Linked DNA regions of Oreochromis niloticus. The main gene of each other region encodes a partner of the protein of the gene in region 2 in a complex. Links are inferred from orthologs where the notes say so. Each region holds a gene or a part of one and is shown on either strand. Other genes may lie near its edges.

Region 1 (16,650 bases), on a different chromosome or scaffold from region 2:
TTTCCTACAGTTCTGACATGGTGTCACGGTGCATTTGCAAAGAACTAGCCCTGATGGGCTGTCCTTGGAAAGAGAGGCCCCCTGGGAGTCACTGGGTGTACTGCAAGCTTTAGAGCAGGCATCAGGGGAAGAAGTCCTTTCTAATGAGGCCTGAGTTTTCATGTCCTCTGATGGTCCACTTGATTGTGTATTTGCTTTCTGTTCAAAGTCCCACTCTGTTGATGAGGCCTTCTGTTTGATGGATAGGTGTCGCATGATACTGCACTGGAGAGCGATGACATCCTGAAGCCACTGTTCAACACAACACATGTATGTTATTATAAAGAAGCAACCAGCAGGTCTGTTGAGAGGCCCTCCTCTTCATCAAGAATTCATTTATATCACTCGAACAAACAGATACCAGAATTTGTCTTTTGCTGCAATTTTCAATTAATTACTCAAAGCTCTACAGTCTACACAGTCTGTGAAACAAAACAGACTTTTTAATGCAACTGTTGCAATGTGAAGGTTTGGAAGTGTAGTGAAGCAGTTGGTTCAGCTTTCACAACTTCTGAAACTGAATTTTCTGTTATTTTCTGATAAACACAGTACACAGGATGTGTCAGTGTTTCATTTATCTACACCAAAAATCTAACTCTCAAAAAACTTCTTGTCCAAACTCTCTTCATAGTAATCCAAAATGAAAAGGAAAGCGATCAATCATCTTTAAACTACACTCCTATTAATCTCACATTCGATTACATCAGATGATACAGATTTTAGCACACAGAAGCCTGCTTCAGGGAACTATCATTACAATCGGACTTAAAGAACATGTTAGGCAGCTGCTGGTTTCTCTTGTGCCTACCTCCTGCTGCTCAGCCTCTGTGGTGAAATGCTTTGTGGGCTGATGGTCAGGAATGCCACTGCAGACCAGCTCCAGCTGGCGCACCCCTGCAGGAAGCAGCATGGGCGGAGGATTCTGGTACTGGGACTTGATGGCATCTGGCACCTGAATAAAAACACTGATTGTTAGAGACAATCTAACACTTTCTAGCAAATTAGCCACTATGTTCAGATGTTTCTAAGAATAGCATCTAACTCACAAAGGTCAGTTCACATACAAGTGCACAACTGCTTAAATTTATGGCTGTCAGTATCTAGGTATTACTGTCTTAGTGAAACAGATATATTATTAAAGTCATCAATTTCCTAGATCTCCACCTGTGTTCCAGTGGCCAAGAAAAAAGGATTATATGAAATCCAACACACTGCACCGTCACACTGAGACACAGGTCTACCTTGATGGTTTTCTTGTTGCGCTGGTGAGTGGTGCGCCGGTTTGGAGCATTCTGCCGATGTACTCTACGCAGGAAGTCCAACTTAACTGCGTGCTGGGACATCCTGTCCTGGAACTGATCGAAGAGCTGACAGCGGCTGGACAGGCTGAGGCTCCTCTGATTCAGCTGCACAGCAAACAAACATTTGAGATAAAACAGAAAAATATATTAATAAAAATTTATGTCAATAAAAGGAAAAGGAAAGCAGCTTTAGCTTAGAATCAGCACAGCGCATCTTACTACTAAGTGCTCGACATGGTTTGGACACATCCATTTGCCGGCAGGTAAAGCTGTGAGTGGAGGGTCCAGACAGTCCATGTGGAACAGGAGGGGACAGTAATCGCACTGGATCAGCGGAGCCAACCTGCAACTCCTGAGAGACCAAATAAATAGAATTAGTACCTGCTGTCATCGCTTCGGGGCTTCGTCTACTTCTTTGCACTGTGCTCCAGAACTCCTGACCTGTTGCATGAAAAGCAGATTTTGACTGGCAAAGGGACTAGACCATTGGGATCCAGTTCATGCTGAGGCCTCCTGAATGGCTTTCCAAGCAGCTCTTCTTTTTTCCTCCGTTTACTGCTGCCTAGAAATCCAAACAAAAGAGCAACATTTAAGAAACGGCCCAAACTGCATATATAAAGAGGTATTTTAAACTTAGGGCGCTGAATGAAATCATATTTTGTTAGTCATTATGACTGACTGACCTGGTAGTGCAGTGGTGCAGGTGAGCTCACTCGGCAGCTGAAATTGAGTGGGGTTTCTCTCCATAGCAGCCGCTATTAGGAGCTGAAAGGGCCTCTTGAGGAGTCGCGGTGTCGGAGCAGAAACTGTAGAACTCTCGAGCTCTGCACCCTGAACTTCATCCTCAGGCTCTGCTGCCTCCTCCTCTCCATCGTTCTGCTCCTCTGAGGGGGTTGGGGTGGATGAAGTGTTGGAATTTGGAGTCCCAGGTCGGCTGCTTGGCCTGCTGCTGGTTCTGCGGTCCAACAATCGTACCTGGGCCACTCGTAGACCAGGGCCTGCAGCTCCAGCCCCTGGAGGTAGACCATCAAGCCGCAGCGGGCCAGCGTTGAGCTCCAGCTCCACGGCCGGAGAAGCGCACCGCTTGGAGGAGGATTTCTCTGGCAGGCCGTTGGTCTGTTCAGACTTCTGTTCTCTTTTCTGTACATATTCGCACACAAAACCCAAACACTGATTTAAAACACCATCTCTTGACCCTGCTGTCTTAGCTAGTTAGAGGCCAATCTCCAACCTTCCTTTTATCTCAAAATTGTTGAAAAAATAATTTTAAAAAAGCTAACAGATCATCTGCAGGGGAATGGCTTATTTGAACACTTTCAGTCAGATTTCAGACCAATCACAGCACAGAAACAGCTTTAGTGAAGGTTACGCATGATCTTCTTATGGCCTCTGACAGTGGACTCATCTCTGTGCTTGTCTTGCTAGACCTCAGTGCAACGTTGAATACTGTTGACCATAATATTTCATTAAAGCGATTAGAGCATGCTGTAGGTATTTACTTCTGCAGTGGTTTGTATTACGGCTGCCACGATTTGTCGGCTAGTCACAATTACGTCGACGATCGTCGACGACTAATTTAATAGTCGACGCGTCGTTTGAAGCTTTGTAAGATCCCGAAAGACGCTGGAATAAGTAGTAGGATTTAAGAGTGTAATAACGGACTGAAACAGAAGATGGCAGCACTGCATGTACAAGGATGCCAGCTGCCGTTAAACCCTGAAGAAGAAGAAGCAGTCCTGGCACATTGTTTTCAGATCCCCGCTGTCTTTCGCTACTCAGGTTAAACACGATATATAAGTCACTTTGATAACTTTAAAATGTTATTGTTTGGCTTTTTTCAGTGTTTGATTTGTTCCTGAGTAAATCGGTTTGCCTGAGATTAAAGTTTTTTCACACAGCTGAATAAACATCAAACAGAAAACGGATTAAACAAAAGTGTGAGATGGTAGAATTTACTCCAATGTCCTGTTATACTTTAGATAGCAAGGAGCAGACGGCTGAGTTTATTAAACTCCACTGAGACAATCTGCAAATTTCATTAAAAGTTTAATAAACTATCATCTTGTCTTTATTTTTAGTTAGCGCATACCTTAAACACTTCAAGCTGTAAGATAATGATAGTTTATATGAGAGCAGACGCATGCTGGTGCAATAAGCTGTACGTTTTACGTGCAGTGGATGCATGATCTGATTAGTCAACTAATCGCAAAAATTATCGGTGACTAGTCGACTATCAAAATAATCGTTTGTGGCAGCCCTAGTTTGTATCATATCTATCTAATAGACTCCAATTTGTTCGTGTAAATGGAGAGTCCTCTTCACACACTAAGGTTAATTATGGATATGCTAGGACCAATTCTGTTTATATTTTAAATGCTTCCCTTAGGTAGTATCATCAGAAGGCACAGCATACATTTGCACTACTATGCAGAGGACACCCAACTTTATTTATTCAGAAAGCCAGATAACACACACACCAATTAGTTAAACTGCAGGAATGTCTTAAAGACATAAAGACCTGGATGGCCGCTAACTTTCTGCTTCTAAATTCAGATCAAACTGAGGTTATTGTACTTGGCTCTGAAAATCTTAGAAATATGGTATCTAAGCAGATTCTTACTCTGGATGGCATTACCTTGGCCTCCAGTAACACTGTGAGGAACCCTGGAGTCATTTTTGACCAGGACCTTCAATGCACATATTAAACAAATATCTAGGACTGACTTCGTCCAATTCTAATCTTTGCGTAATATTTCTAAAATAAGAAATATCCTGTCTCAGAGTGGCGCTGATAAACTACTTCATGCATTTATTACTTCTAGGCTGGACTATTGTAATTCATTATTATCGGGATTGTCCAAAAACTCCCTGAAAAGCCTTCAATTAATCCAAAATACTGCAGCAAGAGTACTGACAGGGACAAGAAAGAGAGAGCAGATTTCTCCTATATTGGCTTCCCTCCATTGGCTCCCTGTTAAATCCAGAATTGAATTCAAAATCCTGCTCCTCACATACAGCATATGTAAAAGCATATAGTTAGGGCTGGATCAGTTGACCCTCAATACTCCCTTAGTTATGCTGCAATAGGTGTAGACTGCTGGGGTAGTATTTTTTCTTCAGTCACCTTTCTCACTCACTATGTGTCGCGGCAGATGGCCACCCCTCCCTCAGCCTTGTTGTGCTGGAGGTTTCTTCCTGTTAAAAGGGAGTTTTTCCTTCCCACTGTTGCCAAAGTGCTTGCTGATAGGGGGTCAAATGATTGTTGAGTTTTTCTCTGTATGTATTATTGTAGGGTAAAATATTATTGTGATTTGGCGCTGTATAAATAAAATTGAATTGGTCCAATTTATCAGTACATAGAACACACTCTTCGGGATACATTTCAAAAGCAGAATGAATCAAATGTGTAACAGAACATCTGTCACTCACCTTCTTCCGAACATTGCAGCGATGACACATCCATTCCCCTGGAGGAAGCATTTCTTCACTCAGAGGTGGGTTGCTGTCGTAAGAAGACAGAAATTAAATATTTAATAACAGAAAATGAATCATAATTTCTAATTCCCATTTCATTCAAATGAAAAACTGATTTGATCCCATTGTTTTGGCATCAAAACAAAAGTCTAGTTTCTTCTGTCTCCATCTGGTGGGCCAATGGCTGCATTACAATAAAAACATCCATACAGTGCAAAATAATGGCAGTTTTCAATGTTATACTTTCATTACAGTAGCTGACACATTCATTAATAATCAATTGTTCCCAATGTTTTACACTACATACTGCCCACATTCAAGAAGACTTCGTCAGATCCACCTCATTTCACCTTATCATTTTTTAAAATTATGTCTGGTTAACTGTTACCTTGGTATTTCCATCACTCATCTGCTACTTACAACCACCATTCGTTTAACAGTTATTCATAAAATTACACTTAGTGACCAAACTGAACCATCTATCCATTATGCTTTGTTACTCCTTTCTTTTTAACTTGCATTTTTAACCATGGTGGTGCAGTGATTAGCACCGTTGCCTCACAGCAAGGAGATCCTTAGTTTGATTCTACCACCTGGCCAGGCCTTTCTGTGTGGAGTTTGCATGTTCTCCCCATGTTCGCGTGGGTTCTCTCTGGGTACTCCGTCTTCCTCCCACAGTCCAAAGACATGCAGTTAGCAAGGTTGGGTAAATTGATGATTCTAAATTGCCCATAGGTGTGAATTTGAGTGTGAATGGTTGTTCGTCTCTACGTGTTCGCCGTGCGACAGACTGGCCAACTGTCCAGGGTGTACTCTGCCTCTCGCCCTATGGTAGCTGTCATAGGCTTCAGCTCCCCTAGCGACCCTGACGAGGATAAGTGGAAGAGAATGGCTGGATGGATGCATACCATTAGTTTGCTTGTAGTAAGCGTATTTAACTACTTTTTCTTTTGATTCATTATTATTTGTCTATTTTAACAATTTATTCATTTCTATTGGCTGTTTGTTTCTATAGTTTCTAGTCAACTTTAAACTTCTTTTTTCCCCCTGATGCATCTGGTATATGAATTCATAATTGCAGAATTTAACATTAAAATTAACTGGACTTAAGACATACAATACATATCCAGTAAAATGACAACAATAATAAATTTCTCCACAGATTTAAAAAAATGAAAAAAGTTTTTTTAATGATGCTTTTGTGTTTGAAGTGGTCACATGTGAGATGCACTGTGCATGGGACAACTGAACTGTCACGCCATGTAACACTGTCTTTTACATTATAGACATTAGAGCAGCAAAATTCATGAATACATATTCAAAATCTGAAGGCGTCCACACGTTTGGCTATATATGTACAGACGGGTTTTATACGGTTTTCAGGTGACAGTCTGTAAAAGTAGTAATACAGAAAAAATGAGACGGGTATTTATTTATCGCTGTGGCACCGAAAATACCTCAACAAACGCTGTTATACCCGTCCAAAAAAACTGCGGAATATTTCGTCCGTATTATTAATGCACCCCTTTTCCATCAGAGTTGATTTTAAAGGTTTGTAAGATGGCGGTGGAAGAAGGGGGGAAAGAGCAGCGAGGTCGCCATATTGTAAACAGAGGCTACATTTTTACCAGCAGCTCCGCTGGTTGCAGCCTCGGCAGGAGGGGAGGACCGACTGCAAGCTAATTCTAGCCTCTTGCAGACACGACATATTTAAGCATTTATTTTAACTCCTGTATGTTATAATTTCATTAGCGACGCGTGAAAATAAGTTTGCTATACACTTTCAAACTCTATAAAGTCCAAAAGTCAGTATATAAGATAGACGACTGGTATAACGGTGCACAGTCCTCCCAGAGCAAGAAAACATTCTGGTCTGTTACTTAAATTATCAGTTGCTATCTTAGATCACCAAACGTCTTTTAATTAACTTCAACTGCTTTATTTCCTGAGATTCTGAAAACGTCTGCAAGTAAATTCGACATGCAAGCAGTTTCCAGGGAAAATGGGAGTTAATAATAAACCTTACAGAGGGCAACACAGCGGCTTCAAGCCGGCCTCCATGGTTAACGTGAACGGAGAACACAGCGGGAATTTCGGAAGAACAATTGATGGTTAAAGTTGACTTTTCATTGATATAAGCGTGAGCTTTTGTAGCGAAAAAACTATGAGGCAAAATGAAATCATTTAACAGATTATTTCTTTACACATTTCAAATCATGTGTCTACGGGAATCGGAACCACCGAGAAACGGTAACCGAGGACAATCACTTGAGTTAGCATTCAGCCATCTTACACATATAACTGACGGGGACTCTTAGTTGTTTCCGCTTGTTTCATCAATTCTCTACGTGTTTTTTAGTCAAATAACTTACCAGCACTGGAGATGGAAAGCTGCAGGACAGTGGTCACAACACAGCAAGTCTCCCCCTTCCCTGCAACTATCGCAGGTGTCGTGGTTAGTCGCCCTGCCGCTCCTCCGGACGTCCCTCACCAGTTTCCGACTCCGTTTCTCTACCTCTTCTGACTTCGGGGGCGCCAGCAGTGTTTGAATTTGCTGAAAAAGTTGTTCAGCTGTTTAGTGCGACATCGCGGCTGTCCTTTGCTTGTCTAGTGTCCGCTGTGACGTTTATAGAGAGCGGTAACAGTAATTTGTGGCCTCCGTTACCAAGCCGAATTAGCTAGCTAAGCGCTTGACAGCGGGCTATAGTGATGATGACAGCTGCGATTCAAATTTGGTAAAATATATTAAAGTGCTAGCAACAGAGGAATGTTTCGCTTAATTAAGGCCTTAGACATAGCAGCCTTACCTCCATTAAGCCCCCAGAGGTATCCAAATCGTACACAATCGTTGGGGTCTCCATTTTGTCCCACATTCATCCAGAAACAGACTTTGCAAAAGGAATTTGCGAACCAAGTGCCTCGGTGCTCACAATAACCACGATAAATCCTGTAAGAAATTACTTCCCGAATGATTTCGGTGAGAGGATGTCTGGTAAATCGACGTTAGCTATCGTTAGCTGCCCAAAGGAGCTAGCTAGGCAAACGTCAACCAGTCAAGGTTGTGAAGCTAGCGGTCTCACTAGCTGCCGTAGTTGGCCATAAAAAGGTAACAAAAATGACGTCTAACTATGTAGTTAAAATACTGATTCCTTAGCACCACTTTTTATGTGTAAGTGCCACGAAAACATACAGAATTTTCTAACAGTAGACTACTGCTCTTAGCTACACAATCCATCTGCGGCCTAGCTGGCCAGCCATGATTCTTGTTTCTGCTCCTGCAAAAAGGAGCGCTGTAAATCTGCAAAGCCCCCCGCTCCCATTGTCAAAACAAAATGTAACCAAACAATCCAGGAGAAAACTAGGTGTAGTACGGCCCAAAACCTGGTTTCCGACAGCGTCCGGAATGTATAATCCTCAAATCAAGTATGTGGAAATGCAAATTTGGTTGATGTTATTGTTGTGAAAAGGCTGTGCATCTATACTGGCTGCTAGCAACATCCTTACAGTTGGCGCAACCGCGCACACCGGACACGCATGCGTATTGGAACGGATATAGATAATTTCGGATACACTATAACGAACCGGTAAAACATTATCTACACGGTGTTTTTGACTGGAACTGACGTTTTGAAGTTATTTTTTTTGCTATGACTTTCCCTGTAGATTACCTTATAGCACTACTCATTACTATTGTGCACACGTACTTGTGCTGCTACCGCGAGTAGCATTAACTGCTCCTTGCTTCAATTGCTTTATTGTTTGTTTATGAACACTACTCATGCAATTTGCACTTCTGCTACAATAGCGTTTCAGCTGCTCAAATTACCATCTTAATTCTTCTTCCGCTTGCTCAACATGTAGTCTATTTCAACATGTAGTCTATGTAGACAGCAAGTCCATCCATCCATTCTCTTCCGCTTATCCTTATCGCGGGGTGGCTGGAGCCTATCCCAGCTGGATGACGGCAAGTCAGTTATTCTAACAGAAATGTTCAATTCAGATCAATTTAGTTTTAATTATATAGCACCAAATCACACCAGCTGTCACTGTCATCAAAGCGCTTAGTTATCCTTCTACCAATCAGACTTTTCTGACAGAGGGCATTGTCTATTTTGCAGTCAAAGTCCTCACTGGATTAGTCTGCTGAAGTCTGAAACACATTCTTTAATTAAGAGAGGACCAGACTGTGCAAAGTGAAACGCTGAAGTAATGCACAGATCACTAGAAAACAAAGACATCCAAAACATTAACAAATCAATAATCCACCTCTATATTCTCTTAAACCAAAGATTTATTTAAGAATTTATGAAGCCCTAATTCCCGTATTTTCCATCTAGCACATAAATAATGTAATTTCTCACTTAAATACAATTTGTATTTATAGCAGGTTTATCGGGTTTTTGTTAACCAGATCACACCAACTATAGAGTCTGACCAGATCTCGAAACACCAAATGTAGGGTAAACAATATGTGTGTGTGACACCTTACTAATGCTGAGAGGTGATGAAAACTAAATCTGGAAACAAAAAACAATGCTAGTTAACAGTTTGGCATCAGTTATGTGAAGGACAAATATACTGCCATTTATGTGAATGAAAATTTCCAAACTTAAAATAGAAGGTATGATCTCTTTTTTTGTGGAACCATGTCTATCATATTAAGTATTAAAGTATTAAGTATTAAAACTGTTTAAATATACTTTAGCAGCCAAACTGTCTGTTTCAGTTTTAATAGCAATTAATCCATAGGTCAGCACATGGACTGATTCTTGGTAAATGGACTGATTGCTATGCAGCACTTTTCTGCTCTTGCAGAGCACTTATAGCACATCAGTTTTGAGCCACACTTTTTCATCTTGGTGTTCTCTATTGCAAACTAGAGCACATTAAAATGTGGGGCATTGCATCAATACATGGGACTGGTAGACAAGGAATAAAAATGCTGTGCAGGCCCACTTAAAGTAGGCGCATGATCACCACATCCACAGCAAGTAAAGGTCCTGCATTTAAGTCTCAGTAAAATAGAAGTATTTAGATATTAAGGTAAAGATAGATTTAGATCATTTATCCCAGAACTGGGAAATTCTTGTGTTACAGTAGTTGATGTTTGACTTAAATCAAACAAACCTAAATAACTTAAATAAGTAGAGTGGTGTCCAGCTTAATAAAATCTTAACAATTAACAGCAATAATAACTAGTCGAAAATAAAATTAGGCACAATAAAGTAAAATAAGTATAACTTTAATTAGTAAAAATGTCCATTCATTCATTAATTTTCTGCTGTTTATTCAGGTTCATGTTGCAAGAGCAGCAGTCTAAGCAGAGAAGCCCAGATTTTCCTCACAACAACCACTTCTTCCATCCGGGGTGTCTCCCCTCATCCGGGGAATACTGAGACATTCCAGGCCTGCAGAGATGTGTGATCTCTCCACTGAGTCCACTGCCCAGAATACCTCACCTATAGGAAGTGTCCAGGAGGCATCCTAGTCAGATGCCCAAACCACCTCAATTGGCTTCTTTAGAATTTTCCTTTCAAAACAAAAGCAACAACAAAAGAAGAACATTAAAACTGGCTAGCTAATTGTTGGTCTTCTACTTCACCGTGTTGTCAGTGTGGGCACCCAGGTACTTGTACTTCTCCACCACATTAAAATCCTGGATAGGCACAGGCTGTAGTTGTTTTCTTCCTTCTGTAGTTGATGATCTCTGGTCTTACTCAGAGATGATTTCTTCCAGACGACTCCACAAAATCATCCTCCTGCTCCTGTCCATCACATATACATCCAATCACCGTAGAACTGTCAGAGTAGTTCTTTGACCCAGAGTTGTACCGAAAGCCTGAGATGCACAAGTTGAACAGGAATGATGAAGGTGGCACTCTATGTTGTGCATATCTTGCCAATACCCGGTGACACTGGGCAGTTATCAGAAAATTGCATGTTAGTACTCATTGTGCAGAAAAATGTTTCTTTTCATATCTAATGTATTTAAATTGATATTACTGCAAAATTAATGTGCATGTTGCATTATATTTAACTTAGATTGTTTACTCTAGAGCTATGCATCATATTCTATATGGTAATGTAGCATTATTCTGCTCTAAGAATCATATATATTTAAAAAGTTCAGTAAGCTCATACTTTTGCCTTCAACTCTTTGACATTTTCTAGCAAATCTAAGAAGGGCTTTTTTTATATATATATATCTTAAGAAAATTGGAAAAATTGTATGTTCATAACCAGTAAAACAGCACTTGTTCATTAAGTGCACTGTAGGAAATAAATAAAGCTGTGAGAAAAGAAATGGAGCAGAATACAATGGCAATATTTACCTCTGAAACATGTGGAGAGATTGTTGCAGAAAAAGTAGCTCAAAATTGTAAAATACTTGAGTCAACGTACCTTGTGGAGAAGTGTCTGAGCAATTTAGAATCACTTAACCTAGCACCGTGTGTGTGTGTATATAAATATGGGTATATGTAAAATAGGTAGATTGATAGGTGTAAATGTTAGTGCGACTGGTTGTGTTGCCCATCTCTTTGTGTTAGCACTGTAACAGACCTGCACACTGTCTTGTCTCTTGGGATTTGTAGCAACAATGGATGTGCTAATTGAGACAAAGTTCTAATTAGTCCTTTATCCTAAACTTGTACTTTTGATACCTGTTTTTTTTCTAATTCTTGATTTCCTTTTTTGTTTTCTTCAGTTGTGTGGTTCATTACCCATATTGGCTGTTTTTTTAATGGGGCTGATTCTAAAACCTAAAAATGGTTGCCTTGGAGAGGGGAAATGTTTGCAATTTTAATGTATAGTGGACAGAATTACCATGAATGATGGGTAATTGCTAACCCTCGCCAGCAGAGGGAGGCACTGCTCAGTTGTATTTGAGTAGCTGGCAAAATACTGGTAGTTAGCTAATGTGATTTTGTGCACAGAGATATATGACATTGCATTTTAGAAATGTAGTCCCGTGTTCCAGTAATGTTACTAGCCATCACATGTTATACACATGTCCAGCATGACCACTCACCAGGTTACAGTTTATTGAACATTTTAGTGCATATGTTAATATGTACATTAATATGTAGTACAAGAATGTTGAAAATGAAAAATCTTTTTTACAAAATGAATTTTCAGTTAATATTTTTTAAAGCTGAGTCTTTTTTAAAATCTACATATTTTGATCACATTTGTAAAAGCCCTTAAAAAATATTTAGTTGCTGACTTTAAGTCATTTTTCTGATGAAGGAGACTTGTAAGGTTGTAATTATGAAGTATTATATTGTGATAAATGTATCCTGTTGTGCTAAATCACTAAATTACTGTGTTTATTTTAAGATATTTTTGAGAGTATTGTATTTTAACAGTATTAGAGTAAGAGAATTTCTAAGGGTTTAAAAAAAATTGCACACATATATTTTCCTCTCTCTATATGGTAAATGGCCTGTATTTATATAGCGCTTTTATGGTCCCTAAGGACCCCAAAGCGCTTTACATATCCAGTCATTCACCCACACATTCACACACTGGTGATGGCAAGCTACGTTGTAGCCACAACCACCCTGGGGCGCACTGACAGAGGCGAGGCTGCCGGACACTCGCGCCACCGGGCCCTCTGACCACCACCAGTAGGCAACGGGTGAAGTGTCTTGCCCAAGGACACAACGACCGAGACTGTCCGAGCCGGGGCTCGAACCGGCAACCTTCCAATTACAAGGCGAACTCCCAACTCTTGAGCCACAATCGCCCCTATATATAGGGTTGTGATTCCTTAAGGAATGTAATATATTTAAATGAAAATCAAAACATATTTTTTATACTTGGAGAAGATACTTTACTTTTCCAGGTTTGAAAAGAGAAGCCAAAGTGGAAATACCTGAAATCTGCTTTCTCTTTTTTTTTAAAAGGCCAGGAGAGAGCAACCCCTGTGGCTGGAAAAAGACTCCAGATTTTCTATGGGAAAACAGCCCTGGGCTCCCTAGTTGTTTGAGCTTAGTAAACATGAGTTATGGCTACATGCATGTTTTATATTTTATCTATGGTCCAAGTTTCAGTCAGCTGATAATACCAAGAATTCGGACTCTTGGTCAGGCTCATCCAGGCTTTTGGGGATTGGTGTGACACTTATTATTTTTTGCTGCTAGAACTGGTAAATGCCTCTCTATTCTTAATTCCTCCTACAAAAGGATAATTTGCTAGGTTGTTTCTCCAGCTGTGGAAAGGTCCATGTGCAAGATACCTAAATGTCCTAAATTGCTAAAGTAATCAGAGATATGCACACTGAGCAAAGCCTCGGAACTAGACTGATAAAGTAATCTCCTGCTCCATTGCACCAACTATGCTCTGTGTGTCAGCCAGTGTGGGTGTTTACATGCACATAAATAATCAGATCCACCCATCAACCCATCCATCTGCCCACTGTTGTAGGGTATAATCCTGGACAAGTCACCAGTGTGTCTCAGGGCTAACAGAGGAAGACAACCATTTACATCAGAATCAGCTTTATTGACCAAGTATGTGTACACATAAAAAAAAATGGGTTCTGACTATTTCTTTGCTATTGACAGACAATACTGACAACAAGATATCAACATGACAACATGACAGACAACATGACAATAATAATGTATTTATTTATTTATTATTTATTTATATTTCTTTCTTTCTGGTGCAGAGTACAAAGATGTTGGACCGAATTATGGAATAAATAAGGGATGGATAACTAGTATAACATGCATGTTTTCGGACTGCGGGATGAAATAATGTAACTGTGATGAATGACCATTAAGCAGCAAGGCTACAATCATTGCAAGAATAGTCAGGCTTTAGTACAGCCTGTTTTTTTGTAAGTTTTGTGGCACACTAGTGGCCTCTTCCAGCAGCACAGCAAACAAAAACCTACACTAACTGGGTAATTGTGCTGATGATCTATACTATGGACTGGGTAATATGTTAGGACTGAAAGGATGAAAAAAAGACCTATAGAGGGCTGAAAAAAATGATTTGCCAGAATAATTTGCTGAAATTTCTCTGTTGCAACTCAAAGTGGTACTTGGTAGTTTGTATACAAATGTGAAGTGCAACCTTGTGGTGTCAGATGGACCAAAACATAACATCCCAGAGTTCTACTGAATTTAAGTCAGGCCGACGCAGGGACCAGTCAGTGGCATTAATTCCTTCATACTCCAGGACCTGTCTGCATACTACTGCCACATTAGGCATAAAAGAACTGTGCAGACATGAAACCGGCAATTATTTGAGCTCCAGCTGGGGGCTTACCCGTTGAGACAGGGGAAACCAGAGTATGTGTTTGTGTGTACTGTCTTCTGGTTTGCGGGTTACGGCTGCATCCATCCCATGTGAGTATGGCAGTTCATATGGGTGATAAATGTGTGGGACACGGCATCTCTATGTCTCTGTAGCACGGAAATGGTAGATGTATGCTGTGTTTGGGCTACCAACATGCTATGCTGGCCAGGGAAGCTCCACAATCTTGCATAGACTGTTTCATATTGCCAAATTTTTGAGATGATGGGCAGGGCATCCAGGGCTCTGGATATTGCCTTCCCTGAGAACCCTGTGGCAGTGGCCTCCAGGTTTGAAGACATCACACAGCCACGGTGCTCTCAGCTGCAGGTGCTACTGCTGCCTGATTTTAAGGACCTGGTGTGCAGGCAGTTTGATGCCCCGGCTGCTTTGTACAGGTGGTCCATCGCCTGCAGAAAGTCCTCTAGCATGCATGAAAGAGCAGGTCATCACCACAAGTAGTGCCTTGGCCTCATCTGGGTGGTGCGGCAGCATCTCTGACTGTTTCAGTCACAGCTCCAGTGGGACAACCAGGAATGTCTAAAGAGGCTGCCTGTTGACCCCGCAGCCATGTTCTGCACACAGAACATGGCTCACACGCTCGAGACAGTTGCTGTGTTGCTCAGGAGTTGTCAAGGGGCCTGCTCAGGCGCTCTGCAAGTGCATGGATGCCCAGGGTTGCTGCGCCCCAGCCTGCTCCTGATGCAGCATGGGGCCCTGGGGATACCAGGCCTCAGCTGGCAGCTTTGCGTAGACATAGCACCAACATGTAGGGGAAACAGACAGGACGTGCAGCCAAGGCTCGACTGTCCTCCAGCCATCCCCCTCCATCTTGACCTTTCCGGAGGGCAGACCGGCCAGCCCCCTTCCCTGTCTGCCTTGTTGGTTGGTCGTTGATCCAGGGCTACCACCTGCAGTTCTTCCACAGACACCCCCTCCATCACAACCATTCTGACCTTTACGTTAGTGAGCAACTCCCAGCAGGCCCAGATAATGCAGGAAGAACTCTCGGCCCTCCTGGAGAAAGATGGGATACAGAGGTGGATGCTGGGGACTGCCAAGCTGGGTTCCCTTCCCGCTCTTTTTTGGTTCCCAAGCGGGGAGGGGTGTTTCCCCGATGTTGGATCTCAGGGGCCTCAACTGCTATCTTTGTCCCCTGATATACAAAATGCTGATGGTCCCCAAGGTGAAGCAGGCCATCAATGTTGGGGACTGGTTTGCTACCATTGACCTGAAGGTCACTTACTGGGTGTTTGAGTTTTCCCCTTCGGCATCTCTCTTGCACTCTGGACCTTCACGTGATGCATGGATGCTGTCCTTGCCTCTATGAGGATACAGGGCCACAGGGTCTTTAACTACTTACACGACTGGCTGGTCTGCACCACATCAGAACAACAGTCCTGCAGTCATGTAGCTTAGCTCATGTACATGTTCAGGCTCTGGGCTTGCGCCTGAATCTCAAGAAGAGCAAGCTACAGCCTTCCCAGGCCCTATGTCTGGACATAGGGCCTCTGTGTCCCTCACTGCAGAGCGACGCTAGACCTTCAGGGGATGCCTAGAGCACTTCAGACTTCACTAGTGGGTCAGCTGGGGCCTATACTTCTGCCTCATGGGCCTTATGGATACCATGGTGCAGGTGGTCCCATTGGCTTTCCTGCACATGAGACCAGTCCAGCAACGCCTGCTAAGCCTGGGTCTGTGCCCGCAGTGGTCCAATCAGCCAACAGTAGTGGTCTCTCGAGGACTCAACCAAGGTCTCCGTTGATGGAGGGACTCCTCCAACCTGGAGCAGGGCTAGGTGGTGGGTCTGGTGACTCACCGTCAGTTATTCTCCACACGCCTCTCCAGTAGGTTTGGGTGCAATACGCGAGGGCTGTGGTATCAAGAACTGCAAGCTGTCGTCCTGGCACTCGAGTAGTTTCTCGACTACAGGGGGTTCATGTCAGCGTCAGGGCAGACAGCCCTGTTGTGGCAACCTATGTCAACAGACAGGGTTGCCTAGACTTACCCCTCCTTTGCAGGATAGCTGCCAGGCTGTGGCAGTAGGCTCACCCCCTGTTCCACTCACTGAGAGCTATTCATGTGCCAAGGCCACTGAACATGGCAGCAGACATTATGTCGATGGGCCTGGCCCCTGAGAAGGAGAAACTCCTCTGCCTGCCTCAGCCATGCGAAGAATGCAGTAGTGCTGTGCACTGTCCATTAGGGCTGTTACTCCTCTCACTGGGGAGTGTTTATCTCCTGGTGTGTGGTCCACAAGTTGGACCCACAGAGGTTAAAGTGGACACCATACATGGTGTCAGTGATCAAAGACCATTTGCTTTGGTTATTCAGCACTTAGTGAGGCTTACTCCTTTTTAATATCTTGGTTCCTGAGGGGTGTCCAGTAACGTATTCTCAGGCCAGGATCCCCAGTTCTCCTCTGGGACCTGGACCTTATCCTTGGTGCCCTTCAGTGCTCTCCTTTTGAGCCACTGTAGGTCACTGACCTGAAAACTATCCTTGAAAACAGCCTTCTTGCAGCTGCACC
Region 2 (16,561 bases):
TGCATAACCATAATCCACTAACAGCTACTAGGCCATTAATTAGGATTTCTTCCCCTCAACATGCTCCTGATGACTGCTAAGTAACAGACACTTCTGAAATTACAATCGTAATATGGCATTAGGGCCAAAGTTTCTCTTAGGTGGTCACACTATGTGCATACTGCTGAGCAAACAGTACATCTGTGTATACATGTGCTCCTAACTGAATGTGTAACCTTTTGCTATGGTTCAACGTTTTCAAAAGTGAGTTCCTGTTTTTGTGTACTTTGCACTCGAGACAGAAACACATGCACAAGCAACACACTTTTCCCCCGTTGGTTTCCCACCATTTCACTAAAATACAGGTGGCAATAAAGTGTGAGAAAATGTGAGAAGACTGACTCGCAGCTTCATTCAGACACGCCCACAACAGTCGGAAAGAGAGCAATGATGGCTCTCTGGAGCACAAGATATTCACTATATCTGTAAAACGTTACATCAGTGATACATAAAGTGACATATGAGGTCACATATGAGGTCAGAGTCTTGTACATCACTGTGGTTATTCAGAGTTTTGAAAAGGGAATTATTTATACAGTGTTATTTCCTGTTAGATACTGATCAGGGATATGGTTAGATGATCAACTGAAAGATTCCACATCAGGTCTTTGCTGGATTTTATTTTCCCCATTTCTTAAGGACATGACTTTCAGATACTGTTCATCAGCTGTAGAGAATTTTTTAGGTTTGACACTTATTTTGTCTGCCACTTGTCCGGTTTTCCAGTTCCCTCAAATTTTTTAAGGACACACTGCACACCATGCTGAGAAATGACAAGTTTCTGCTAATAGCTTTTTAGGACTCAATCTGCTGGCCTAGAAATATTATTTTATGCCTGTCAAACTGTTACTGTTGGCATTATACTGATTCAAAATGGCATGGTTTTAAAACATAGTGATAGTAAAATTTTTCTAAAAAACAACTGATTAGAAAACTAAATTGATTAGTTGAGTGTTACGTGTAGACAACACCGATTCATCACTTGAGTTAGGAGCCGTTATGCTTGGACGATTCAGTGTTAAGTTGATCAAATTTGTCATTTAATATTCAAGTCAAACAAACTTAAAGAGGGAAAGTCGACACTCAAGAAGTGTGATTTTGTAAAAGCCTGCGCGTTTACCTCAAACGGCTAAAAGCATGCAAGCTGTAACTTATGGACTCTGATGTTTATCAACCAGGGTTGATGATGAAATAAATGTGGGGGAAAAAAACAAAAAAGAAAAAAAACTTGTTAGCCAGATTCAGCCCTGTGTGCATAAGAGCTCACTAACATACACAGCAGCTGTTTTCATAAAGGAAGAGCTTTGAGACATCCTCATATTTGGCAGCCTGAAGGTGTGAGACAGAAACTTCAGGTGGCAACCTCGCCCACCCCCTCATGTTATGTTAGGTTTAGGGAGTCCTCAAAAACAATGACATTCTTAGGTGAGCTGAGCGAGGGACAAAGGCACAAAAGAGGCATGCAAAAATAACAGGAATCATAATATTGTGCGTATCTATACATCAGTTTCTATGCATGCAGTTCAAACTTGTGCTATGTTGAAAGAAAATAAACATTTAAATTCAGACATCAAGCCAACATGTTAAGATGCTGTCAAATATAAAGGAACAGATGAAAGGGGCTAAAATGCACACAGATGACTTTAAGCAATGAAATGATGCAGTGATTTTTGTTTGGTAAAATCTAAGTAGATATACCTCCTTGCATAAGGCCGTGCGCCCACTGCATTTAGGCTGCTGGTAGGTCTTGGGCAGTGCTCTATAGCTGGACCCCAGGCGCTTGCAGGAGGCATAATCCACCTCCCTGCCCCCTCCTCCCTCCATGTAACGATCCGACAGCCCTGACACAGCATGAGAGAGCTCTTTGTCCCCGAGAAATGACTTGAACTGTGTGTACAGTTCAGGAAACTTCCTGCAAGGATATGGACAAAATTATTAATGACAGATAATTGAAGTACATCTGGTATTCTCGGCTAGTATAAAAAGCCATGTGACGACCATTTAGAGATAACTTTCAAATTTGTAAAGTTGACCTGAATGTCCTATCTGAAAACAAAAAAAACAAACAATGTCTTAATATTTGTTGCCCTTTGCTGCACTAACGCTGGATATTAGCATCACAAACCATTTCCACATTAGTTTGTCTCTTTTTATCCATCTCAAAATTCTTTCCATCCACTCACCCCAAGAAAGGAGTAACAAGCTGTAGCAGCTCAGCTCCTGAAACAACTTCTTGGTTAAACAAGGCGATGCAGCGCAGGAAGTTCTCATATACTTCCTGGCTTTTAAACAGGCGACGAACCTAAACGACAGTTGGGTTGACAATAAAATTCGCTCAATCACTTTAAAAAAAGTTTCTGTTTAAAAAAAAAAAAAAAAAAAGAGGAAACATTATGGGATTAAAAATTTAGTATAAAAAATTAAATAAATAAAATCCAGAATTACAGGCCAGAAGAATAATCCCTCACCTTATCAAAGAAGGAAAATTCTCTTAAGACTCCATGTTTGCCAACCGAAGCAAAGGACTGATCTTTGGTACAGGAATACTTCATTTTTTTCTAAATAAAGAAAAGAATAAAATCTGAACATCACAAACTTTAATTATCAAAGTGTCTGTGACTGCTTTTGGAAAATCCCAAACAGCTGTTGAAACTTTTAAAGAAACAAGTTTGTTTGTGCAACACAAAATTATTTTCTAGCAAATGAGTTGGTGCTGATGAAATGAAGTAAAGGAATGCAAATACTCGGTAATTATGTTACAGGTTTCTGAGACACATTTTGTCCAGTATGTTGCAGGCTGTAGTGTCCATAGTGTCCAGTAAATGGCATACATCATGTTGCTTACATGCAACACATTAACTTATTGAAATGACTCAATAATGTTGCAGATTTAAAAACCTGATACTCAGTAAGTTGTTTTCAATTAAACTGTTACTGTGTTACTTAACACATACTTATTTATCTGTATATGAAAATTTACCAAAGTAAAATAAAATAAAAATAAATAAAAAGTATAAAATAAAATATAAAGTCCACAATGGTAACAGATGTTCTGTAGTGTCTGTAACAAGAATGGTTTCTTTCAAAGCTCCATCTCTCTCTCTCTCTTTAATTAATCGTGAATACGTCAAAATTTTACACCTTATTTCACAAGATGATGAAGTTGCAGAAACAATCATAAAAAATTAGCATATAACAGACCTATTGTTTTTGCTCATAATGCACAGCTTTTGTCTCTTTCACTGACCCGCTGAAGAGCGAAGAACCTACCTTGAGCAGTGGGGACATATGCTGGAGAAGTATGGGCCTCGGTCTCTTTTTGTTCTGTTTGGTTATCATGTCCTCTTCTTCTGTCCTTTTCAGCTGCTCTTTCCCCCCGGTGAGCGAACTGCCTGTGAACTACAGAAGAGGAGGCACATGGACAAAAAAAGCTCAGTTGTACTTCTTGGGACTTTGGGAACCGACTGACAGAAAAACGTTTTTGACAAGTTATATATTCAGCTGTTCAAAAGCGGCACTTCACTGTGAATATGCGAATATTATCATGATGGCGTTTCAGAGCAGTAAATATACAAAATGTCACTGTTGTAAACTGTGTTAAAATAACTGGAAATGAGAAATGTTGCTTTCATGCCCAACTGCAAATTGTTTCTGTTCAAACTGTGCAGATTTTCATCTGCTTCCAAAGTGGAACATCAGAAATATCCATCTACTGCTGCTCAACTCACCAGTGATCTCTTGGCATCGGGCAAGAATTGTCCAAACTCAGCCAGCAGGTCTTCTTGTCCCTTGAAGAGACTGGCAACTTTAGAAAACACCTCATCTTCTGTCATCCCACTGCTGCCTCGACTGCCTCGACTCTCCTTCACCTCCAGCTGTTCCTTCTGAAATGTTGTTGGGGTGGAGAGATAGATATAGGACACACACACACACAAAATAAAAACAAAACTCAGAAACTGCAAATAAAAATCCTACACCTTTTATGCTATGAATATGCAGTATTAATGGCCTTACTTCTACAGTACCTGATATGTGTGAAGAATTTCTAGGAAGGCTCTATAGATCTCTGGATGGTCCAGGAAACGGTTTTTAATCTTGTTGACATAGCTGATGGCGCTATCAAATTCTACGGGGCTCGTCTCTGAGGCAGGCGGGGACACAGATGAGGTGGCTGCTGGATTTTGGCTCTCTCTGCTGGTCAGGGGAAGAGAAAGTCTGCTGGGAGGCTCTGGAGGTCCTGCTGCTGACGAAGACAGGGGCTCTGTTGTGGCCACCTTGACTTCACTGGTCTGGGCAGGTCCCACTTCAGAGTGAGAGGAAGAGGCACTACCCGAGGTCGCAGCAACAGCAGGAGCGACGGGACTCTTCCCCTGTGGGCTTGGGGATACCTGCACACGAGAGATGCATTAAGAAAAAGACCGTTTATTTACTACTTGGGGAGAAATATCTGTTTGTATATGCTGGTGCAGGAGCACCAGCTTTAATGTGCTTTATATTAAACATTCAAACATACGTTGGCTCTGTGGGTTTGTTTTAAATCCCTCCCTTAGCAGTGTATAAACTCTATATAACACAATAACAATTGTAATTGTAGACAAAAGGTACACAGTAAACATAAAACACTAAATATAAAAAAATTATTTAACAGAAAAAGCTTACCTAAACTTGCATAGGTTTTAGAAAAGAAAAGCATGCATCATGCAGACTGTCACTGGATGTTTATATAAATGTGTTTGTAATCTAAATTCAGTATTAAAGGAAAGTAGTTCTGATGCAAATCCCAAGTCACACTAACATTACACCTAAGATTGCCCAAATCCCATTATCTTGCCATCCACTACCTAAGCACGATCCATCTCTCAGAACAAAACATCACTGGAAGTTAGTTCCCAGCTTTTACTTTAAAATAATAAAATTGTACACAGAAACTGAAAGAGCTTAAACATATAAAAGTTTAACTCAATCTGACACGGACCAAATAGGTTTTGAATGCCACCGAGTGAAATCATTACAAATTCCTCAGTGTAGTTATTTTTGTATCAGACCGTAAAATTCTTTTAAAGTCTAACATAGATTCCTAATCTCTGAAATTCTTTTTATATACAACTTGTATATATTTGGCTCTTTGTGATGGGATTTAAGTGCTTGTTTCAGCCAAACATGCACAGGAAGAAGCAGAACTCCAGCTGAAATTTTGTTCAACTACCAGACAGACAAATCTGCTGTCACATTTTGTAGTGAAACCTTCGTGAGGGCTTTTTCAGGCAGATCATTCAGCTGAAGTTCAGGGCAGTAGAAGCACACCTGTTTCCTCCTAAGATGTTCTGTGGTCTTAAACATATAATGCCGTCAGCATACCCTGCTGTACATTGTATTCAGATATCAGTAAAGCAGAAAGCATGTTTTTCTTTAAAAAGAGTATCTTACCTGTGCAGAGAAAGGAGACTGAAGGAAAGCCATCCCATTCTTAGGGACCTCTATCCGATACCCCGGTGGCAAGAAGGCATTGAAGCCCAAGACGAGGTCTGGGTGTCCATGAAACAGTTGTGATACACGGTTTATCACTCCCGGTGTGTCGATGCTATTTCAGAAGACATACGGATACTTTAGAAGTTTGGTTGAGAAACACTGATTAAGTACTTCTCTCAAACACCACAAAGCACAAACAGAAAACAAGTTATTAATAAGCGCTATACAAGTTAGCTTTAAAGAAAAAGAAGCAAAGAGGAAATGCTTTTAGTCCTCGTTTAATTTCAAGATAATAATACCTGTCGCATAATTATAGTAAGAAGCTATGTGCAGTATCATATGCACTGATAAACTCCAGATTGTGAAACAGAACTAGTCAAGGATTAAACTGCACAACGTAATGAAACTCCATACACAAGCAGCACAATCACCATCTAAAGAATATGTATGGGAATGTATGTCATTAAGAATGCATTACTAGAACTCCTATTACTTCTGGTTTTCACCTTAGCAGAGGTACAGCTGCCAGTTGGTCACAAGATTATACAAAAACCATTAAGCTGAATTTCATAACACTTGGTGGCGTATGGGGAAATGAAGATCCCACTGTATTTTAAAGTGGATCTGGACCACCTCCCTTAAAAACTGCACAACAGAAATCAGTGTGTTCCCTGTGTTCCCTGTGTGCCCCTGTATAGTAGTTACTTGTGGTTTGTTTGCATAAATGCCCAATGATACCTCTGCGACTTGAACTCCTTCATGATGTCGAGAAACTTGTTATATATCCCAGGGTCATTCGCAAAACGAATTTTGACTTGGTCCAGATATGACAAGGCATCTTCAACCTAAACATGGAGAAGAAGAAGGAAAAATCAGTACAGAGCAAAGCACAGACAGCCTCAGCTGGATGTATGGAGCAGCATTTTCCCCAGCATCCAGTCATGGTGCTCACGGTAGATAATTTTACAGCTACAAAGCTTGTTTACAGATTTCAAATGCTACGTTTTGCATTTATTAATAAATGCATTTATTTGCGATTTGTACTATGAAATTACAGGTAGCCCCATCGTACAGATTTGTCTCAGTGCTGCATACGTGAAGTTACGTGAATGCTGACCGATTTCTTCACTATCAGCCAAAGTGCAACATCAACAAATCCTCTGGTTAGCAGTACAAGCTGTACAACTAACGCTAAAATAAATAAATAACTGGGCATACACAAGAGACACCAGGCAGCTTTTGTTCATTACTCCACTGCTTTCTTTCGCTACCACAGCTAGGCTAGTTTAGGTTGCGCTAAAGGGGGAAAAAATGTCTTCACACAAGCCATTGTCACAAATAGTCCACATCTTAAAGAGGGTTGTTGTAGCTAACGTTTAGCCAGTCGACTGACGATAATAACTCCACCAACACTTGCAACACCTACCCGCATACAAATTTATACAATATGTTTAGTCACAGCTGGTCCCCGGCCAACAGTGTCGCGTTGGCAAAAACAGTACGACATATTAAAACACTACTATAACAAAGAAACGTGTACTGAAGCTGCTAATGAAGTGAAATAGCCGTTCTTGGCTAGCCTGGCTGACGTCCTCCACTTTGTTCGGGGTGGCTGAAAAAACGAACAAGGAGGAACTTCCCACAAACGAGGTCTGAGTTAACGTTTGCTCACAGAAGCACTTATTGATATGGCAAATGAGAAAGTACCACTAACTGTGCCACTCCACTGTCACTCGCACATACACTAAACGAAACACAGCTTCTAAATCCAACATTAAATGTCAACGTTAGGCTGTTTAGCAATGAATTACTTTTAATAGGCCAGCGAGCTAACTAACGTTAGCCAGCCGTTCCTTTCACTACTCTCGACGACAGTAGAGAGAAAGAGAAAAAAAAAGCCTCAAATCCAATGCAATGATCCGACGAACAAAATGGTTCTGACTCTCAGCCACTTTTCCCTTGTCATGTCCGTTGTCTCCTTACCTTCAGCTTCTGGAAGTGCTGCTGCTGCACTTGCTTTTGTGTTATAACGTAAGGCTTGTCTTGAATTTGGTTTATTTGCTTCGCGGTGCTGTGCGCCTGAATCTTCGCCATTATCCCGGCGACAGGAGGCTCGAGAGCCGCTACCACAACTTGAGGGAAGCTTCGGCGTTACCTCCAGTTGTTGGCTAGCCGACAAACCTTGCTCTCGGTCGGGAAGCCAGCCTGCCAGCAAGCAACCCTACTCTGCCTAGCTGGACAGTCTAGGTACAGAGGCAAAAAAAAAAAAAAAAAAAAAAGGACGGGAAATCCAGCAGAATGAAGGTTGATGACAGACAACCTGCTACTCTCGGTGACTTTGATGAAACATCACCATCGAATTAAACGAGCCCAGGCGAGAAGTATCGGAAAATAAGCCCAGAGACAATGGTTACCGTTTTTCGTATTTAAAAAAAACTAAAGCCTGTCTCTTTAAATTCGGCGGCAGCGCTCTGTCTTGGCGTCCGGAAGCCAGAGTAGGAGTGAAAAAAAAAATTAAAAAAATTAAAAAAAGTGAAAAATTGAACTGCGCAGTCGCAGCGATGGGAGGAGCTGAGTTCACAAGAATCAGATTGCTCCACTCCCCCTTCACTGCTACAAAGGAGCAGCGCTACTCCATGCAAAGGATGGTTGCACACTCCACAACGGTGCCCACGAATACGAGCTCGACGGTGGACCGAATGCCGACTGTGAGAAAGATCGATACAGGGCTATTGATAGACACCTACGGCTCATTCAGAGGGCATTCACAATGGATTCAGCTTGGTTTTCCAACGCAGGAGCCAGAGGCAGTTTTAAACAACTTCAATGGATATGAGGACGCAAAGAAGAAAGGAACAAATATTTCGCTTCAAAAGGGTTTATTAGTGACTGATTTACACATGGTAAGACATTAGGAGTAATGATGACAAATGAGAGAAAAAACAAACAAACACCATTTGTGCATTAAATATCTACAACACAGTGTTCATTCTACCACTGAAAGGTGCTGAAAGGAATCCATCATAGTATTCAACTATGGGGACTTTGCTGCTAGTTTCCACCTTTGTAACCACTGCTGAAAAGTCAGTCCTCCTTTACTGACCTCAGGAAGAACATGCTGGGCTGGCCTTTCCCACCTACAACACACAAAACAGGGAAGTTAACCAGAGAATGAGACGCTGGACTACTGAGCAAGGGCATGAATGGAAAATAATTAGAGCCAATAAATTCAGTTAGATATTGGCCTCAGATAGATGTACTGGCATGAATGTTTTGGCAGGGTTAAATTCAAGCCATGAAGTCATTTACAAATGGTGTAATCACCTGTGTGTAGATAGGCAAGTTAACAGTAAGGTTTAAGACTTAGTTTACTACCAATGAATTAAGAAAGCTGGTCTTTTTTCTTTTCTTTTTTTTTAAATAGATTGAGCTGCAAAACTATAATTAGATGAATTAAACCACTATCAGCCAGTTTCTGTACCTGGATTAAGCTTCTACATTTTCTACAAAAAAATCTAAAATCTAGAAGATCACCAGTAAAAAAAGGTTTTAGTCCAAGACTGTATATTCACTCTGGAATAATGAGATGTCAGTCAGTCAGTAATAATCAGAATCACTGACCAGGTGTAATTTATCCATCACATTATGGTAACCAGTTAAAAATGGCAAGTACATTTATCTCTTCATAATGGACTCCAGCAACAAAAGCCTCGTCAGACAATCAATGAAAGATCATTAAAACTGCCTAAATCACTTACATTTGGAAAGAAAAAACACATACAAAAGTGTGCACGAATAATCTTAGTATTGTCTAAAGGTTAAACCAGGAAGTAGTTCTAATGAGTGTTTAAAACATGCTTTTTTAGTGATAACTCATCCATTCACTTGCAGATGTTGTTCAGGTAACTGTGTCACTCTAGGTAATTCCCAGATCTCAATTTGTAAAAATACACCCAGATTAGAAAGGAGAAATCTCGATTAAGCAGCAATTAAAATAATAATAATAACAGGTCATCGATTTAAGAACTGTGTCTCACCAATAAGAGATGGCAGTTTTGACTTGGTCCCCATAAGAAAGGCCCTGTGCACAGCGGTGAGTGAGCCCTCTGACTCTTGGTACCAAAGACTTGAGAAGCTTTTGGTCCTCCTCCATGACTCTGGACAGGAGAGCTAAGAGTGCAGACAGACAGCAGTATGTTACTAAAAATCCACCGAGCATTTTATTTTTTGTGGAAATTTCCTAACATATTAAGTACGTGTACACCAAACACTGCCCTCATTTGTGTTTAAAGCAAACGCTTCTCTCTTGATAAGTTCTCCTGGTTACCTTTTTGATCAGATGCCTCCAGCTGATCCGCTTCCTTCTTTATCTTCTGCAGAGTGGCAGAGTGAAGCTGAAGTAACTGACGGAGAAAACGCAGCTCAAGCTGTTGTGAGCGAGATCGGGAACACAACTCCTCCGGAGCCTGAAGTTGGGTGTGAAAGTCAGAGAAAGTCAAAAAAGTTACTAGTATGCAATATATGAGGAAAAATAAAAAAGTGAAAAAGGACACCTCCCAGCAGCTTTGGTATATGTAACTCTATTTTCCTTCTGCTCAGTGAAACTGGCTTTCAAAGATGCAATTTTTGTCATCTCTGGTTGTGAGGGGTTCAGCATCGATCAATGACAGTCCGTTACAATCACTTAGGGCACATTTAAGAGTTGGCTGCAAACACTGATTTTGTAGAAAATCATTTGAGAAAGAGCCACAGGAAAACACAAGTGATGTTAGGATAGTGAGACGGTCACAAAGTCCCTTTAGAAGATTTCTTTGGAGGCCATTACCCAGGCAGCATGACTGAATAAACTGTTTTAGTGACTGAAATTACAAGTTGAATATTTTAAAATAATACAACACAAAAATCATGATGTCACCAGTTCAGAACAATGCTCCACTGACTGACATCTACTTTTACTGAAGCAAATGACTCAGTCACACTAAAGTAAGATCATCATAGTAACCTCCTTTCAGCAAAGGAAGGAAGGAAGAATGAAGTGGTTGCCCGGTGACTGCATTTAATTTTTTTTAGCGTTAAGCAACCGACTCCAGCTGGACGCCCTGAGTTTGAGCATGCAACACTCTCAAACTCTGGCGACCACCTTCAATCACAAGGCGACTGCAAAGGTTGTCTGCAAATAATCAGTCTAATTTACAAACACAGACAGTCTGCCTGAATGATGCAATCATTCGGAGTCAGCTGAAGAGAAGAGCTCGTCTGCAGAGCGTTCATTTGTAAGAGAAGACTCTAACTGCCTGTCGATTTGCAATAAACTGCTGACCTGCAGTAACTACGTCCCCATTTGTGAAAGAATTTGTTTTAAACCTATGAGGTTCTGGCTGGGCTCTTAATGCAAGTAATTAAATGAATTTCTGTGGTATTTAGATGGTAAGGGAGGGACACAGATTTGCAATTTTCGCTAATTAATCACCATATCATTATAAACAGATTGCAACCGTAGCAAAACATGACTGTGAGAGTGAGCAGAATCAAAGAGAAAACAGTAAAACTGCAACACTTTACACACTATATGCCAAAAATCACCTTGTACAGAGGGAATGCCAGACTCTGACACAAGCTGCTGAAGGTCGGGGACTGCAAGCGATGGATGGACAACCATGATGCAGGAATTCGTTGCATACTAAACAAAACAAAATGGAATTATATTTCTGGTCAGTGAATGTCACCCCTGGACAAGGACAACAATTAAATATGTTTTTGTTTTGATTCACTGCAGCTGGGGCCACAGATGTACCACCAATGAGGCAAATATAGGGATACCAAGCAACATGCTCATACCCTTCGATAGTTCTGCGGTCCAGTGAAAGAAGTGAAACTGCTCCCATCTGTCTGGCCTCCTTAGACACAGCGTTCCTTAGACTGTTGGCTGCAGCGGTCACATCTTCAAATTGTGGCATTAGTTTTGCCTGGATGAATTCCTCTAACTGAGACAAAACGCAAAGATTAAAATCCTCAGAGTGCTACAAAAAAACATAAGAATTAAATTTTAGTCACTCTCGTTTTTCACCCCAGACTGAAGCCTCTCATCAAACATATTTCACTGTCATTGATCCTGACCTCTCTGTGAAGATGAATCAGCTGCGTCTTTGCTGTCGAGTTCCCCTTAATCAGACCTCTGATCTGCTCTTGTCTGAGAAGCTGTAAAGACAAGAAAGCAGAACATGATTATTTTTATGATGTAACAAATGCTGACGAAAAGTCAGTCTTCTCACACCTAGCAAACATAAGACATCTAGACCAAAGATCTACAGTATATAATACATGTAGAAAATATTTCATCCAAAAATACTGTCTGTCAACTCTCACCACTAGTTGTCTGAAGTCCAGTATGCTCTGCCACTGGCTGCGAAGGCTTCTTAGCGCCTCCTGTCGACTTTGGGCATGTTGGTCAAGTTGGATGCAGCGGTCTCTGATATAATCCCTGGCAGCTGCCTGCATCACACACTGTAGTTCCACCTCAAGAGCTGATCTAAGAGTTCAGAGCGCAAGGAAAATAAAAAGCACAAGTAGAAGACAAGACAAAATTATTGCCTCTAAAGATATTACCACTAATTAAAATGAACTCACATAGCTGTTTTCAAACAGGATGCAAATACAAAGTTTAAAACTGAGTTGACAACAGAAAAATTGTATCGTTCAGATAAAAACAACAATAACAGTGGCTGTTTGTTGGACCTTTTTTTCCCCCCTCACAGAAACCCAACTCCCAAGTTGCAGTACTGCAAAAAAAAAAATAACAAAATGCATGGCAAAGGCAGAGATTGAATTGGAATGAACTTACAGTGCCAAGGAATCATCCTGGAGCTCATCTCTAATACTGGACACCTCGAGCTCAGCGTCCTTCTTACGGGTTTGCAGCTGGTTTTTGAGCTGCTGGACTCTGGAGCGAGTCTGGGCCAGTTCCACCAAGCTCTGCTCCACTTCTTCCCACGCAGCCTGCAGCAACAATCACATGCGGGTCCATGCATAAAAAGTTACCAATCGCAGATTCCAGGAAAAAGAAAGAGATGATCATGGTTTGATCACGATTTTATGTATCAGGACATAATGTGTGAAAAATAAGTCCACCCTTACTGCTTCTGCATATTTCATTAACTGATCATCAGCAAATGTGAGCACCACTATAGAAGCAGAACTTTTGGCACTTTGCGGTTCAAATATGTGCCACCACTGTTGCTACCCATGAGGGTTTATAAGTCCCTTCCCAAACAATTTAAAGTCAATTATCCTACAGTGAGAAAGATTATTCATGATACCCTTGGTATCTACAAGCTTAGTTCTACAAGCTATTGAATCATATGGTGTGTTTAACCTTTGACAGTGTTTCTGCATTTTGGATTCGTTTTTGTTAAATCAACAATGATATGGTTTAATATGCCATGTGCTCTTGTTCGTCTCCGTTTGTATTTACCTCATTTTAAGACCAGGTAGGGACCAGATTATTTTTATTATGTCCTGATATGTAAACTGTTAACAGGGGGTGTGAACATGGTTTCATCTGCGTTTCTGTTGGTATACTGCAATGTGACCGCACCTCTAAGAGGGTTTTAACTGGTGGTAACTCATTTTCCTCTTCTGCTGACATATCCAGAAGGTGGTCGCTTTCATAGCGGAACCTGCATGCCAAAAAACAAATAAATTTTAAAAATGCATTACACTGAAAATCGGAAATCTTGAAGCATGACGTGAAATGAAAGATCCCAATCACTGCCTTACTGCAGAGCTGTTACATCCCGTGTCACGTCCAGAGACGACAGTTTCTCCTCCAATACCTTCTGCTCTCTTGAAGCCAAATACAGCAGCGCTGATAGAACATGGTTTGGAGGGTAAGCACCCAACATGTTCTGGTGACACAACAAGCAACAGCATATTAATGCAAAGTCAAAATTAAAGACAATGTTAACACAAATACAAAAATATTTTGTAAAATCAGACACAAACACACCAACCTCAACAGCACTCAGCCAGTACTGGAATACAGCAGTCCTCTGCTCACGGGTCATACTACAGGGAAAACAAACAAACACAAAAATAAATACATTTTAAAAGCTGAATAACTTAAATCGAGTACAGTCTGTGGTCCTTACTGTGTGGCTGCAGAGTGCTGTGTTTTCGATTCACACTCTTGTAAAGACTGATAGAAGTGGACCCTGTCGTCACACAGCTCTCTCACATCACGCTAAAGAAAGAAAACAAAGGTAATGAATGATTTCATGAAGTCAGCAGCTGATATGCTACAGTTGCCTCGGTAAGCAACTAATTCCAGATTTGTGCGAATGTTAAAATTTCTCCCAGCATACATTAGGTAAGGTTAGGTGAAGTAATGTTGGGTTAACTGGTAACTATAAATTGGCCCCAAGTCTGAATGTCTGTCTGATGGATAGAAAACACACAGAGCGGCTATACACAGAGCCTCCAAAGCGGCTGTATTTGCTATTTCTGTCTGATAAACATTCTAAATTTTAAACTTAAGTAAAACACAGATTCGGGCATGTTTTACCAGAACTTGTGCCTCTGTTGCCACTTTGACATTGAGGTTGTCATTGTCTCTGTTGCAAGAAGATTTATCAAACAGCACTTCAATTTCTGCTTTTCTGCAATAAACACACACACAAAAAGAAAAATGTGTAAAAGGTATTGCGTCTCTTTTTCACTTAAAATGTATTAGTAAATGTTCTGCCTTACCTGGCCATCTGTTCCAGAGCCTGGCAGTGCACACTGATCTGTTGCACATCATCAGAAAGATATTTGCGGCTTGAGATGCAGCGCTGCCTGAAAGCCTGAAGCAGCAGCTCTCTGCGTTGGCCGTCTTCCACCTGGGCCCAGGTTCGACTGATAGAGTTGTCTGTGTAATCACAGCAGAAAATGCAGCTATTAAACGCAAATGGCAAAATAGTAGACAAAAACCTTTTCAGCCCTTTGTGGTATAACTAATATATTTGAGCTGAACTTGTCACCATGTGAAATGTGTGAAAAAGATATTTTTTCAGAACTTCTCTCATTTTAACTTTAATTATTTTATCTTTATATAAGAAAACAATCACAAGGTGCAACTCAGTACATTTTTAAAGAAACCATATACACAACATCAGACATGTTTGCCTCTAATCAAAGTAGTGACAACACATCAAATTCATAGGTGTTTTAAAACAAAACTGTGTTAACACAGTTATTCCCAAATGAGTCCTGCCAAGTCCAAAGACATGCACGGTCTTTGTGTTAGTGTCTAATGTGCACTGCGTGTCACTCAGCAGGATAGGCTCCAGTCCCCTCACAACCCTGACTGGAGGAAAATTATGGAGGGATGGCTGGAAGTCCAGCCCACAGTACATATGTTGGACTAACCTTGTGTGGCCATCTGCTCCTCTGTAACGCTCATCTGAGAGTCCAGGTGACTAATCTCTTCTTTCAGCTGCTCTATCTTCTTCTGGAGATCTTTACGCTTTGCAGCCTCACTCTGGCCCTCAGCCTGACAAGACCGCACACCAGTAAACACAAACATAGCTTTTACAGAAACTCCCCTTTGTGAAGTGCAATCACTAACAATTAAACTAAATTACAACTGCTGGGGAAAAGAAATAAGTTGCAGCCTACCTCTTTGTCTTGAAGCGATTTATACCTAATAACAATGTCAAGGATAACAGAGCAAATAAATAACAAAGAAAGGCAAAGAAAACAAAACAAAGAAAGTCTGTTGGAAAGAAGCTGGAAGCTTTGCAGATCAAGTCAAGACCAAAAAGGATACCACTGAAGATTGCCACGCATGATCCTCACATTCCTAAAAAGACAGAAATCAGTCAGAGATTGCAGTTTATTTTAGAAAACAGGCCATTCATGCAAATGTTTTTTCTTTTGTAATGAACCAGAGTCCTGAGTAAATGTTTGAGGACAGGAAATGAGCCGTGTTCTAGTTATAATTTAGTGATCAAAAGGTTTAAAAACAAAAACAAAAAGCAAGCGAGAACAAAGTCTCACCTTTGCTGGAAAACATGCTGGATGACATATTTCCATATCGACTTCCCCGTCCCAACACAGAGTCTGGAAAACAATCAACATTAGTTCAAGGCTAAAAAGTTAGGTAATAACATTGATGACAGGTAACATAAGTGTAGATACCTACGTTTTAAAATAGCTGTCATTAGGCAGTCTGTCCGGGGACAGCCCAAACTCCTCTGTCGCCCAGCGTTTCAAGTCCTGAACAAGATTTCTGTCTGCCATCCTGACAAATAACAGCTGGTAACGAGCTACAGCTAAAGCGAGAAACAACAACAGGAGACTATTATCATCAGCCAGCGTAGTTAGCTTAATGAGTGCACGTAATTCACAGATGTCCCTCCAACTTACCGTGCTCCCACGAAAGATGCCTCTTTAATTCAATAAAAACAGGTTACGGTGCTCACACGGGAATATTTTTTAACCTAAACCTACTCAAACTTTCAAGTTCCCGCCTGTCAACAGCATTTCCGATTAACGACCACAGAGGAAGAGGAAAAGGAGAAGTACCGCCACCTGCTGGCTTGGAGAGCAATCACAACTACAGCCATTTGCTGTCATCAGCACAGACTGTGCCTTAGCTTTGATTTTACACAAATATCTCACATGATGAAAATCATGTAATGATCCAGAAGCCAATATTCATTTTTTTATTTTTAAATGTGGAGATGATTTAAAAGATGTTGTTTGTCATGTTATTTATTGCACTGTTTAACCCAAGAATCTAATGTGCTAATCACATGGCATCTAATCAGGGATATTTGGCATATATACATGCTCATGACAACCTGCTGAAGTTCAAACCAAGCATCAGAATGGAGATGAAAGGCGATTTAAGTGACTTTGAATTTGCCGTGTTGATGTTAGAGGTCAAGGGAATACAACTCGTTTCACCCAAGGGATGCAGAAGAGCACCTTTGAATGCAGATGAGCTACAGCAGCAGAAGACCATACTATGTGCCCATCAGCCAGGAACAAGAAATTGAGGCTTTAATTCATA

Evidence for each region.
Region 1: the proteins of sin3b (region 2) and PHD finger protein 12 are in contact, whole or in part, in a cryo-EM structure (PDB 8BPA), measured with the Homo sapiens proteins. The link is inferred for Oreochromis niloticus from reciprocal best matches to the Homo sapiens genes SIN3B and PHF12. Residues at the interface, in NP_056075.1 of Homo sapiens: Glu307, Phe311, Leu318, Glu322, Val323, Tyr324, Glu325, Asn326, Leu328, Arg329, Cys330, Ile331, Leu333, Phe334, Asn335, Glu343, Leu347, Pro350, Phe351, Lys354, Phe365, Lys395, Arg396, Glu490, Glu493, Leu494, Val497, Tyr545, Arg546, Ile547; in NP_001028733.1 of Homo sapiens: Leu20, Met21, Gln23, Ile24, Gln25, Leu27, Leu28, Pro30, Pro31, Lys32, Thr33, Asn264, Leu266, Val267, Leu269, Val271, Val273, Phe275, Thr276, Asn278, Arg279, Ser280, Arg282, Cys292, Pro293, Leu294, Pro316, Asn317, His318, Ile319.

What each region holds. Positions count from the first base shown.
Region 1 is NC_031979.2:4,233,070-4,249,719, forward strand, and holds the start of PHD finger protein 12, read right to left. Parts: upstream 8,355-16,650; 5' UTR 7,688-8,354; coding exon 7,622-7,687; intron 7,369-7,621; coding exon 7,187-7,368; intron 4,843-7,186; coding exon 4,770-4,842; intron 2,481-4,769; coding exon 2,024-2,480; intron 1,903-2,023; coding exon 1,782-1,902; intron 1,693-1,781; coding exon 1,560-1,692; intron 1,446-1,559; coding exon 1,281-1,445; intron 992-1,280; coding exon 848-991; intron 292-847; coding exon 1-291.
Region 2 is NC_031986.2:44,239,312-44,255,872, forward strand, and holds the start of sin3b (paired amphipathic helix protein Sin3b), read right to left. Parts: upstream 7,891-16,561; 5' UTR 7,603-7,890; coding exon 7,492-7,602; intron 7,257-7,491; exon of another isoform or gene 6,941-7,256; coding exon of another isoform or gene 6,935-6,940; intron 6,354-6,934; coding exon 6,247-6,353; intron 5,621-6,246; coding exon 5,467-5,620; intron 4,428-5,466; coding exon 4,065-4,427; intron 3,924-4,064; coding exon 3,768-3,923; intron 3,439-3,767; coding exon 3,310-3,438; intron 2,598-3,309; coding exon 2,508-2,597; intron 2,342-2,507; coding exon 2,223-2,341; intron 1,952-2,222; coding exon 1,738-1,951; intron 1-1,737. Other genes in the region: haus5 (HAUS augmin-like complex subunit 5), read right to left, coding at 8,543-8,645, 9,546-9,678, 9,836-9,974, 11,092-11,188, 11,347-11,492, 11,626-11,706, 11,875-12,037, 12,350-12,504 and 11 more.